Linked DNA regions of Drosophila melanogaster. The protein of the gene in region 1 purifies or fractionates together with the protein of each later gene. This does not show direct contact. Each region holds a gene or a part of one and is shown on either strand. Other genes may lie near its edges.

Region 1 (6,750 bases):
CAAAGGTGGCTATGAAGGCTGCGCACTTGGAGAGCGCTTCCTCTTTGCTACACGCGATCTCGTCCACAAGGCCCACATCCAGAGCTTCCTGGCTGGCGAAGAGCTTACCTTGATTCAGCGCTCGCTCCACAATTCTGCGGGGTAGAACGCTCTGGTACGAGTTCATCATCCACTTCGAGATGACGAAGCTAAACCGGGTGGCATGTATACCGATAAAGAGATTCGGCAACATCACGCGATACTCACAGGCGGTTGCCAGGACACAGCCTGCGGCAGGTGAGTGTCCCTGAAATTATGATTCTAGTTTAGAGATTTTATGATCGAAGAATAATTTAAATTACATTGATTGCCGCTGCTGTGGGAAGGCCACAAAGATGGAGGGCCAGCCACAAATCCTGGAACCGAGTCCAGAATAATCGCAGTCGCTCCACATCCGGATTCAGCATCTCGTTGAGATCGAGGCCGGCGGAGAAGACCTTGTCATTGCTCTGTAAAATACATAGATTTACATTTAAATGTAATGGGAAAATGTTTACTTTGGGTGGCGCAAACCCACTGAAGTCAGGATGAGACCGCGGCTCTTGTTGCTCTCAATCTGATTGATTGAATCGATGAGGTCGTGCATCAGCTCCATGGTCAAAGTGTTCACCGGTGGCAGGTTCATTGACAGAGTGGCAATCCCACTCCTATCATCGACCTCTATGGTTGTCAGCTTTGAAGTCGCGCCATTGGCAAGGGATCGCAGGGATTGCCCCCCGCAAAGTATGGGTTTTATTCGCCTGACTCCATCTATCAGCCTGTTACGCAACATGACTTGGACGACTTTGGATCTGGAGCAGCAATCACGCACTGAGCGACGGGCAGGAATTTAAACAAATTAACCTGTTTATCATATATTAAGTCGAGTTGCAAACCAAATAAAACAAACATTCAAGCCGAAACGATCAGCTGGTCGGCATTTCCAGGCGAAGTTTACACGGCAGCAGCAAATCAAGATCAACAAGTGCTTACCGCAAAATTTGGATATTTTGTGAATTTTGAAACGCTAGTAATTGTCACTATCTTATCCTATCTCTTGCACTTTATAATTTTATCATCAGGAATTTTATTTATTTTTAGGTTAACATATAAACAATTTTTTAAATTAACAAATTAAGGGACTTTGGACGAATAGTTCCAGTTTAAATGCACGTAAAAAGATCAACATTACAAATTACAAAGTTAGGTGTACTATTTCTTGACCTTGTTCTTTAGGTTTTCAAGATAAGCTCCCATAACCTTCTGCACTCCCGGGCTAGAAGCTAGAGCTACAAAGTCAGCAATATCTTTCTCGCGAATCATCTCAAACTCCTTAATGTTGTCGCCACGGAACTGGAGCTTGGTCAGTCCGCGGGCCAAAGGATTGACCTTAGCAAAGGTGCCGATGAAGGCAGCGCACTTCTCCAAGGCCTCTTCCTTGCTGCTGGCGATCTCATCGATCAGGCCAACTTCAAAGGCCTCCTGTGTGGTGAACATACGTCCTTGGGTGAGAGCTCGCTCTGCCACCCGTTTGGGCAGTATGCTAGCGAAGCCGGACATTAGCCACTTGGGTGCAATGATTCCTAGTTGGGCTTCGTTTAATCCAATCAAAAAGTTGGGCCGCATCACTCGATACTCACAGGCAGTGGCCAGCAGGCAACCGCCAGCGGGGGCGTGGCCCTGATAGATTATAAATTAATACATATCTACATTAGAAGAGATAAGATACTTACATTGATGGCTGCTGCCGTGGGCAAAGTTGTTCCATAGAGGGCAATCCATACATTCTGCAATTCGGTCCAAACGGTTCGGAGTCGCTCCACGTCTGTGTTATACATTTCAAAGATGTCCAGGCCAGCTGAGAACACATTGGAGCTGGCCTATACGCAATTTAAGTGTTATTTGCATAGTTATATAAAGGATCGAACTCACAGAGGTTAAAATGAGACCCCGACTTTTATTGTTCTCAATTTCGCTAATGGAAGTCTGCAGGTCCAAAAGCAGCTGGACATTTTGGCTATTCACCGGAGGCCGGTTCATCGTGAGAGTAGCGATTCCTGTCTTATCGTTGATCTCCACTGTGGTCAGCTTGGTGGCGGTGGACATTAATCTACTTGGAGCCCCGTGGGCCATCAATCTTAAGAAATTTGAGCGCAGCATCTTTCTTTAAGTATGGAAGATGACCTTTGTTCAAATGTTTATTTGCAACCTGCATAGGTGGTAATTTGATTATATAGTTATATCTTAAATGTTTTCCATTTGATATGCAATTTTGCAAAATATATATATTTATTTACGTACATACCTCTGGGTTAATTTCACCGAATGTTTTTTAAATTCTTATCTACACAGCTGTTAAGTTAGTGCAACTGATCTTCGATGGAAAGTTTCCAGCCAACTGCTATCGGCCGCCGTTTAATTATCGAATACAATCAACTTTAAATTACCATTTGAACAGAATATTATCTTAAATGTATTTTCAGGATTATTAAGCCGCTGGAAAACATGATTCTGTTTACCAGTTCTTTAAATGCTACATGTATTTAGGAAAACTACAACTAATTTTATGTTATTCAATCAATATTTATAGAATAAGATTATATTTGTAGAATAAGAAAATGTTTTATGAATTCGTTATAAAATGGGTTCAAAACAACTTTATTACTATATAAAAACGTTTAAAATCATTATTGCTTCTTGGCCTTCTTCTTCAGACCCTCGAGATAAATGCCCAGACCCTTCTGTACCGCCGGCTGGTTGACAAAGAACAGGAATTTCTCCAGATCCTCCTTCCGTCCGTTCTGCAGTTGCTGTAGATCAGCAGCTCGGAATTGCTGCTTGGTCAGTGACCTGGCTAGCGGATTGACCTTGGCAAAGGTGCCAATGAAGGCGACACACTTTTCAATAGCCTCCTCTTTGTTATTGGCAGTCTCATCGATGAGGCCCACCTTCAGGGCCTCCTCCGTGGTGAACATGCGACCCTGGTTGAGGGCGCGTTCCGCAATTCGCTGTGGCAAGACGCTCAGGAAAGAGGCCATAAACCACTGGGGCGCCACAATACCCAGCTGTGTTTCGTTCAGGCCGATGGTAAAGTTTGGCACCATGACCCGATACTCGCAGGATGTGGCTAGCAAGCATCCACCGGCAGGGGAGTGTCCCTAGGGATAAGAAGAAACGCTCTCACTGCATGCTTCTTAGAATCTAGGAGGGAACTCACATTGATGGCTGCCGCTGTGGGAACACTGCTGCCGTAAAGGGCCAGCCAAGTATCCTGCAGTTGCGTCCAGAAGGCGCGAATCCTGTCCTTATCCGGCTTGTACATCTCCAGAATATCCAAACCAGCTGAGAATATTGTGGAGCTAGACTACGGGTGAAATTTGTATTTATGTATTTATTATACTCCATTGATTTAATATCCTTCCTACCGAAGTCAAAATGAGTCCGCGACTCTTATTGCTCTCGATTTCATCAATGGAGCTCTTCAGGTCCTGCAGCAGTTCCAAGTTAAGACCATTTACGGGTGGCCGGTTCATCGTGAGGGTGGCGATGCCGGTCTTGTCGTTGACCTCCACTGTGGTCAACTTGGTGGCAGTGGACATCATACGGTTGGAGCCAGCACGGGCCACCAAGCTCAAGACTTTCGATCGCATCATTTTGATCTGAAGAGCACAAAAGACGTAAACACAACTGAAAGTGACCTTTGGACGGATGCCGGTTTCTAATTTTCTATGTCCGTAATCTTCTTTATCAACTCAATTTTAAATACGAATATATTTTATGCGCGACAAAGTAAATTATTCAAAACTAAGGCAGTTTTCGTATTTACCTATGAATATTATTAAGCGCTGCAGTTTTAACTATTAAACTCAGCTGCCGAAGAACCTGTTGCGCTATCGATAGTCCGAAATCCAGTGGCGTAGAATGGGGATCTTATTGGAAAATAGGCTTACACCGAATGGTTAATACTTTTTCTTAGTTGTAAGATACATTATGTCATTAATGTTATTAATTTAAGAGCGTTTGAAAACTACCCAGTAAGCCCCATGATAAATCTTAGTGAACACACTTAAAAAGTAAATAAACAAATATGTTTTAAGTAGTATTATTTTATTTAAAAAAATATAGCTTACACTATTTATGAAGGACTGTATTGCAATTAAATGTAGTAAATGTGAAGCATCGCCTCAGCAATGTCATTTTATTATACAAATCATCGTCATATAAATTCAAATAAATAACCATAACCGCCACAAAATGCTAAAAACCATGGCAAACATCGATAGACGACAGCGCTGTCATCGCCAATCGACAGCCACTGACAGCCGCACTCCAGCCTGCAGCCCTGGTTTTTGACGTTTACACGTCACAATTCGTCGAAGCCGACTTGCGTTTGCATTCGTGTACACTTTACCGCACTCTTCGCTACTTTCTCTACGAAAATCGAACTGAAAAATGGGATCCGGCAAACAACAGAAAGTCCAGTCCTCTGGCTTCACCAAGGAAGAGGAGCTGCTGCTGCAGGACTTTAGCCGCAACGTGAGCACCAAGTCGTCGGCGCTGTTCTACGGCAATGCCTTTATCGTGTCGGCCGTTCCAATCTGTGAGTAAAGTGACACGTTGTATGTTTTGGGACACTTTGTGAATGAATGGAGTATGCTCCTTGCAGGGCTCTTCTGGCGCATCCACAACATGGACTTGTGGCCCAGCTCCATCCTGTTCGTCCTGGTGACGGCCGCTAGTACTTATCTGATGGCCACCGCCTACAAGAACATCAAGTTCCAGCTGAAGCACAAGATCGCCGGACGGCGGGAGGAGGCGGTGACCCGCGAGGTCAACCGTCAGGTGGGCGATGACAAGAAGGTCACGCGCAAGGAAAAGGACGAGCGCATCCTGTGGAAGAAGAACGAGGTAGCCGACTACGAGGCCACCACCTTCTCCATCTTCTACAACAACGCCATCTACCTGGCCGTTATCATTTTCATCAGCTTCTTTATCCTGAAGAACTCGACGCCGTTCATCAACTACATCTTTTCCGTGGGCATCGCCAGCGGCGCTCTGTCGCTCTTCTCCACCAGCGCACAGACGAACTGAGCGAATGTGCAGCCATGTCATCCCATGTTCATGTACTCGTAATGTAAGGCCCTTCAAGAGATTTCCTGGTACAGCGGGCTGGTCCTTCATCCGCCAACCCCCGTCCCATTGGCGTTTCCAGCAGTGCGAGCATAGAAATTTTATAGTATAAACACCAACTTGTCTTTCTTGTAGAAAGCTGATCAACTTCCATTCGCTGCTGATTGAATAAATTGTAAAGATAAAATAATTTCTTTATTGCTATCGGGGTATTTTTAAAACGGAATTTTCAGCACTAATTTAAGTGTAAATGCAGGGCACCTATTACATTAAGCTGTAGGATTAGACAGCCTCGAGGAGAAGGGCGATGCCCTGACCACCACCAATGCACGCGGATCCAATGCCGTACTTTAGCTTCTTGCGCCTGGAAAAAATATATAATTATCAATTTATGACAGGTTGTAAATTTCCACGGAAACTTACTGCAACTCATGAACCAGATGACCAGTGATGCGAGAGCCACTGGCACCCAGAGGATGGCCCAAGGCGATGGCGCCTCCGTTCACATTCAGTTTGGAGGTATCCAACTTCAGGGCATCGGCGCAAGCCAATGTCTGGGCAGCAAAGGCTTCGTTGATCTCAATCAGATCAATATCCTCCAGTTTCTTGCCGGAAACCTTCAGGACGTTCTGAATGGCGGGTACTGGGCCAATGCCCATGATCTCAGGCTTGACTCCGACAAAGGAGAAGGCCACTAGACGGGCCAGAGGCTTCAGGTTGTACTCCTTAAGCGCCTCCTCGGAGGCCACGATCACTGCGGAGGCACCATCACAGATTCCGGATGCTGTTCCGGCAGTCACAACGCCGTTCTTCTTAAACAGCGAAGGCAGCTTGTTCAGACCCTCGATGGTGGTCTTGGGACGTGGGTGCTCGTCCACCACAAAGTCCACTTCCTTTCCCTTGACCTTAAGTTTGATGGGTGTGATCTCGGCATTGAATGCTCCCTCCTTCTGACCCTTCTCCCAGTTCTTTTGCGAGAGCAGAGAGAACTCATCCACACGCTCCCTACTGATCTTGTACTGATCGGCCAGGTTCTCAGCGGTCAGAGCCATGGGCAGCTTGCAGTAGGTATCGGTGAGGCCAGCCCATAGAGCATCCTCCAGATTGTAGCTGGCACCCAAGGTGGTTCCGAATCTCACATTACGGGCAATGAAAGGGCTCTGTGACATGTTCTCCACGCCGCCGGTAAGGGCTATCTTGGCACCGCCGACCAGGATGTCCTGGGCTCCGTTTACGATCGACTGGAAGCCGGAACCGCAAAGCCGGTTGATTCCAAGGGCGGGCTTCTCGATGGGCACACCGCAGTTGAGACCCACATGACGGGGCACATAAATACCATCGGTGGAGGAGGACTGCGAAGTGGAAGAGAAGAGATTTTTAAGACTTACAAGTTACAAAAAAACATAATATAAGCATGTAGTTCCAGTTTTTGATCTACTGAGTTTGCAATTAAGCAATAATAACAAATAAATATCGAGTAAATTAATTTACATAACCAGATGTACAAGTATTTTATCACATTTACATATTTCTTTTAGTTTAATAACATCTTAATATTGTTTTAATCCGACGCCTTAAGAGTTTCTATTTTAGGATCTTCAA
Region 2 (6,166 bases), on another chromosome or scaffold:
CATCATTCCCTAACCAACGCTAATCTTTCAGCCAACCAACATTCGCGTGGCCTCCGCATCTCTCTCCTTCATCACTTGCCTTTTCCGCTCATCCACAAAATTCACTTTTTTATTGACAAACAAGCCAGAAACCGATGGAAAATTACGACAAAATGTGTATAAGGCAACGCACAGACTGTACTTTGAGTCATTTTATTGCTTGCATGATTTTCCATACGTATTTCTTGGCGCATCACAGTTTAATATGTTATTATTACTATTTATTTAAATCTACTCCATGTTTACTCCAAAGCAATGTGTCTCTTCATGCGAACAGTCTTTTTGCGTCTAAATTATCTTTCAGCCCATTCGTCTTCCCAAAATCCATTCGATCTACATATATGTGTGACTTGCTGAGAGAAAACCTATGCTGGTGTGTTTATTTTCGATAGACCCACGCACACAGTCTCATGATTTCACTCGCTCTTCACTTTCAATTGGAGGCTCGTTTCGTATACGTGAACGGGAGAGCCGTGCGATCTATGGAAGTGTGCGATTTTTGAAGGCACTCACAAATACTACTATGCGGCGAGTCGCTCTCTTCCTCGCTCACTGCCCACACTCTTTGGAAAATGATCAGCTGTTGGATCAGCTGTTTGGATTGCATGCACAACTTTGGAAATTAGCCACCAATTCTGGCTTATTTGAAAATAATAGTGCAATATAAACTAGATGTACTGTACTTTTGAGGCAGCTTCTAGAATTTCATCACAAAGTCCCGAGTTTCACGAGGTTGATGCATGCTAACATTCAAAAATAGAGGCGTTCGCAACAGGGAGGCCTTGCCCGCACGGCTGTACATTATATCGGTGTATATACATAGGTATGTATGTACATACATATCAGTGAAAACAACACTGTCGCTATCTCGCTCACTGATCGTCTCAAAGCAAGTGGGTATAAAAGCCAGGGATCTCTTTCACTCGGAATTCAGTTGTCAATTATCAGGCAAACTAACAAGAAGAGGGAACAAGTTTTCTAACCTATTCAAAATGAGTTCCAATTCTCTATTCGAAACCGACGAAGATGTCGCTCAGGCAAACAAGTTATCCCGAAAAGTGAAGGAGTCCCCCTTTATGCTGGTGGGTATTGCCGGATTCGTGGCCGCAGGTTTGATTGGAGCCTACAAATATCGGAACCGAGGCAGCATGAGCACCAGCGTCTTTCTGATGCAGTTGCGTGTGGCTGCCCAGGGAACCGTCGTTGGATGTTTGACAGCCGGATTGGCGTACACCATGGCCAAGGAGTACCTGCTCCACGAGGAACCGAAAAGCAATACCAGGCCAGACGAATAAATAAGATATAGTAGGATCATCGGCCAAAGACCAAAAATACATACATAAAATGGTGACCGTTAATTAAACTGTAAGTACATCTGTCGAAATTTCTGAATGAACAACTATTAATTTCATTTTCCCAACAGCATCAAATTGCCTACCTCCCCACCACCTTCATCGAATCAGAAATGGTAGAACAAATTATTCTAGAATTTAAGAAAGTTCTGCAAAGTATTAGCCATCAGGTTTAATCTTAGTTAAAATTAGTTAACTATTAAGCGTACACAATAAAGAATGTTTCTACCAAAAAACACTTCACTTACAGTTATGACATTTATGATTCATATTCCGTTGGAGTAATGTTATATTTAAACAAGAGAAACCGCTATAGTCAATTTCCTCGACTATCAGATACTCTTTAATTAGCTAGTGGGAGTGCGAACGAGAAAGTTCAACATATGTATAATAAAATGAATAAATTTCAAAGGCGTTCATGCAGACGGACAGCTCAGCCTCGACTCGGATATTGATCATGATCAAGAATTTATATACTTCATATGGTCGATAAGGCATCATTTTATTTGTTTTATGCTTTTTAAGAAATCCCAGTATATCCTTTTACTCTACGACTAATGGTTTTAAAAACTGATGCATTCCGAATAAGAACACTACGATTTTGATAAAATAAAAAACCAAATAATTTGTCAAAAAAGGTACACCATCTCATTTTCACTATTATTCCATCGTATATATTATACAGTTTTGACTTATTTACCAACTGCAATAGAAATACATCAATAGATTAAAATCACTATACCATCCGCAAGGAAATAAAAAACAGACATTATACAATCTAAAAGAACGTCAAAATCGCAGTAACTCCCCTAATTCTGATTGGATTACATTATTCTCCAAAAATTTCTTTCATTAAATCAATTAAAATAGTTTGGATATTTTGTTAAAATAATTTTTTATTAAATAAATGAACTGCACATAGTATATAGTATATGTCAGGAAATACGGCACATTATTGAATGGATCACAAATGGGGAACGGTTTTGTGTCAGTAGTTGTCAGTGGTGCGGACGTAGTTTACTCCAGACGGCATGGATACCTTATCAAATCCCTTGGGGAAGAGTTTATGAGCCTCTTCATCGGTGACAGTGGGCAGGATCATGACCTTAGTGCCAGGCTGTTTATGAAACAGAATTAATTAGTTCGGAACAGTTCGCATTAAGTGGGTAGAAAAACTTACGGTCCAGTTGGCGGGAGTGGCCACCACCTTGAGGCGATCAGTCAGCTGGAGGGAGTCAATGGTCCTCAGAATCTCGCTGTAAGATTAAAGGATCGTCAGTTGAGATTAACAATAGTTGTAGCCCGAAAGAGGTACTTACTCAACGTTGCGACCAGTGGACATGGGGTAGAACATGGAGAGGCGCACCTTATGGTCCGGACTGATGATGAACAGGGCGCGGATGGTCTTGCCCACCTCGGGATCCTTCTTCTGCTCCTCGTCGAGCATGCCCAGGCTGACGGCCAGGTCGCGAGTAGGGTCGGCGATGATCGGGTAGGGGAAGTCCCCGGGAATGTCCAGGCAATAGCTCTTGATGTCGTTCACCCAGTCCACGTGCGAGTTCAATGCGTCAACGGAATGTGCCAGGCACTTGGTGTTCCGCTTGGCAAACTCCGGCTGGTGCACCGCAATCCTGCCCAGCTCAGTGGTGCAGACGGGAGTAAAGTCGGCGGGGTGAGAGAAGAGCACCACCCAGCTGGCGATCCGAAGAAGAATTGGTAAGATTCGATCAGAGAAAAAGGGTTTGATGGCACTTACGAGTTGCCCTGCCACTCGTGGAATTTAATGGGCCCCTTGGTTGTGTCGGCCTCGAAGTTAGGTACGGTCTGTCCCAAACGCATCTTGCTGTTTGATTATTAGTTTCAAAAAAACTTAGTTGCTCAACTGGTAGCTGCTTTTAGCTCGCACACTTGTTGCTTACTGAATACTGACTGGGAGAGCTGGCTGTCTTTTATACCCAACGTGATCGACGTAAATAGCGGGTGCGATAGAGATAGGAAATGGGCGCTCCCTCAACGCGCGTGTTTGTTTGTAGTATATTATTCTGTGAACAGATTATAAAACAATACTGAACAGATTGTGGAGTAGTTTGCTTTGGTGGGGGGAGTGGGAAACCTTGAGCATGGTGTCATGTGTGTGAAACTCGACAGGGGCCTCTACAAAACGTGGTACATAATTTGGACTTTGAGACGAAATGCTTCTGGAAGTATCTTAGAATAAAGTACTGTTTTCCTTATTTGGTTCTTCATTAATCTCATTTTAAAAGTCCAATAGGCGCAAACTCCTTTAGCATCTAACATCCAAACAGCTGATCTGGTCCAGCTGACAGATAAGCCGGTTCCAAACATAAACAGAGAGCCAGAGAGCATTTAAATGTTAAATGGTATTGGTAAATAGAGGCGAAGCACCAACACCTGCAAACATACAGCCACATCGATAGGCGGATATTGAGAGCAAGAGAGCGCCGAGCAGTGTGATGGTATTTGTGAGTGCCTCCAAAAATCGCACACTTCCATAGATCGCACGGCTCTCCCGTTCACGTACACAAAACGAGCCTCCAATTGAAAGTGAAGAGCGAGTGAAATCATGAGACTGTGTGCGTGGGTCTATCGAATATTAAGCACACCAGCATAGGTTTTTTTTTCAGTAAAACACACAAATAGTTCGAATGGGTTTTGGAAAGTCGGATGGGCAGATCGCTAACTCAGAAGACAGTACCCAAATGGGATTCAGATGGTTGAAATTAAAATAAAAGATATAGTCATCATGGATATTCAAAATGCAGCAAGTGTTAAATTTATTTAGAGGTGGGTTATCTTTAACAAAATTGGATTCACTTCCAATAGCTCGATCGTATTTCCTAAGTTACTAGTACATTCGTAAGAGGGTGCTAGTTATAAGGTCTAATCTAAGAATTCAGAAACCTTCGTCTCTATAATAAACGTTTTGTAGTAATTTTCCATTACTTATCAGTTTTGTGATACCGAAAATAGAATTTGTTTTAATCGTTAAAAATTTAATGACCTACTTATTAATAACAATTAATAAAATTAGTTTAAAAATATTCGATATTTTGTAACCCAGCTTATTTAAGCTCACAAATTATCTTGTTTAAAAAACAACCCTAATAATAAGAACAAAACAATAACAACAATGTAAGAAAATGTGTTTCTTTTTGACTACCTCTCTTAATTAAAACTTATGAGGATTTTCACTTATAGCCGCAAGAATTCAATTTGGCCGCGCATATCGTTGATATTAATCCTTATAAATATGTTACATTTAAAAAAACATCAGAAAGAAACCCGCCGCCAAAAGGATGTATAAAAATATTCGTTTTCGCCTGAAAGTATGCCCCAGCAGACGATTTTGCTTACCAGCTTGATGCATTAACAAAATGGCTTACAAATGTAAGTCAACCAATATTTTGGCTGAGAGTCTCAACTTGAGACTGATATTAGTGTTCCAAAAGCTATTCTATTTTCGCATCGGTGACTGTAGGAAGAGCTTTTGCGCCTGAAAGCTAACGCTTGAAGTCAGCTTCCGAACAGCTGATTTTGATAAGCACCGCAATCGCCCACGCCGCATGTTTTCCTTTCTGCTTTCCTTCTTTGCTTTCGCTTTGCTTTGCTTTTTGGCGCTCCGGCTCAGTTCAAATTTAGCGATGCGCGCGTGCGGTAGCTGAGCGGTCGAAACATAACGGTAAACGGTCCTCGAAACTGTTTTTTGACATATTTGTCTTATCGTATCGCCCCGACTTTGAGCCTAGGGACCGCCGTTCGTAGTAAACTAGCATTCTGACAAAGTGCACACACCTTTTGGCAGGCGGCGAAAACTTTTGTCCGCGAAAACTTTTCCACTTGTGTGTTGTTTGCCCATGCGGTGCGTTCGCGTGTGTTTGCCAACTAATCCAAACATGTGAGGCTACAAACAAATCATCTTTAACACTATCCACCCATTCAAACGGAGCGTTTTCCCAAGTGATCTGATCGCCTCGTAGTAAAAGTTTTCCCTTGACCAGCTCTAATGGTAAATGCAACGATAAAGTTGTTTTCCGAAATTCGGCGAAAAGTTGCCAGCCAACTGTCCTCATAAAATATGCCAAGACATTTACATCGCCCGGCCCAACTGCTTTAAGCCCGCTGGCACCCGTTGGCCATCAAAGTGTTAAAGTGCTATAAAAAACAGGTACGAAAACATACTCCCTCGGTGCCCATTGAATAATGCATTCAATTACGAATGTCGCCAAAATAACTAGAAAAAAAAATAAGCAACAATTTATGCGCACGTGAGGTGTGGGCACAAATGTTATTATTCATATGTACACGCTTTTGTTTACTTTGCCTAATGTTCTCTTTCGGACCGACAATTAATATTTAAAGGTACTCTTGTAATTCATGTTGAATGTAATTAAAGGATTGTTTGGTAGGTAGGTAATGCTTTTTGTTGTTCAGGCAATTAAACATTTCAGTGGCCCATTTAAATTAAATTAGCTTAATACGTACTATATGTGACTTTAAAAACTTGTTGGCATTTGGGCAATAACACTGTTAAAAATAATTGTTTAAATAGTGTTAAAAATATATAAAATAAAAAATCAAGATTAAATAATAAAATAACTTTAACTACAGTTTCACAATAATACAGACCCGCCATTTAAGGTATTTTTTGAAAATACCTATTGAATTTAAATACAATTAACAGCTTATTCGAGATTATTTAAAGGTTCAAAAGGTGGCACAAACAAGAGTAAAATCGCATTTAAATTGAAAGTCAG

Evidence for each region.
Region 2: the proteins of CG4598 (region 1) and Prx6c purify together in Drosophila melanogaster (affinity purification with mass spectrometry, with the first as the bait; one large-scale study listed by BioGRID). This does not show direct contact.

The regions. Positions count from the first base shown.
Region 1 is NT_033779.5:9,915,802-9,922,551, reverse strand, and holds CG4598 (uncharacterized protein), read right to left. Parts: upstream 3,935-6,750; 5' UTR 3,845-3,934; intron 3,678-3,844; 5' UTR 3,672-3,677; coding exon 3,444-3,671; intron 3,383-3,443; coding exon 3,236-3,382; intron 3,177-3,235; coding exon 2,706-3,176; 3' UTR 2,432-2,705; downstream 1-2,431. Other genes in the region: CG4592 (uncharacterized protein), read right to left, coding at 1-286, 342-488, 557-811; CG4594 (uncharacterized protein), read right to left, coding at 1,231-1,698, 1,752-1,898, 1,951-2,178; CG5885 (uncharacterized protein), read left to right, coding at 4,471-4,618, 4,685-5,109; yip2 (yippee interacting protein 2), read right to left, coding at 5,431-5,512, 5,572-6,500.
Region 2 is NT_033778.4:10,415,869-10,422,034, reverse strand, and holds Prx6c (peroxiredoxin 6c), read right to left. Parts: upstream 3,318-6,166; 5' UTR 3,231-3,317; coding exon 3,148-3,230; intron 3,086-3,147; coding exon 2,711-3,085; intron 2,648-2,710; coding exon 2,572-2,647; intron 2,509-2,571; coding exon 2,380-2,508; 3' UTR 2,274-2,379; downstream 1-2,273. Other genes in the region: CG11825 (uncharacterized protein), read left to right, coding at 869-932, 988-1,334.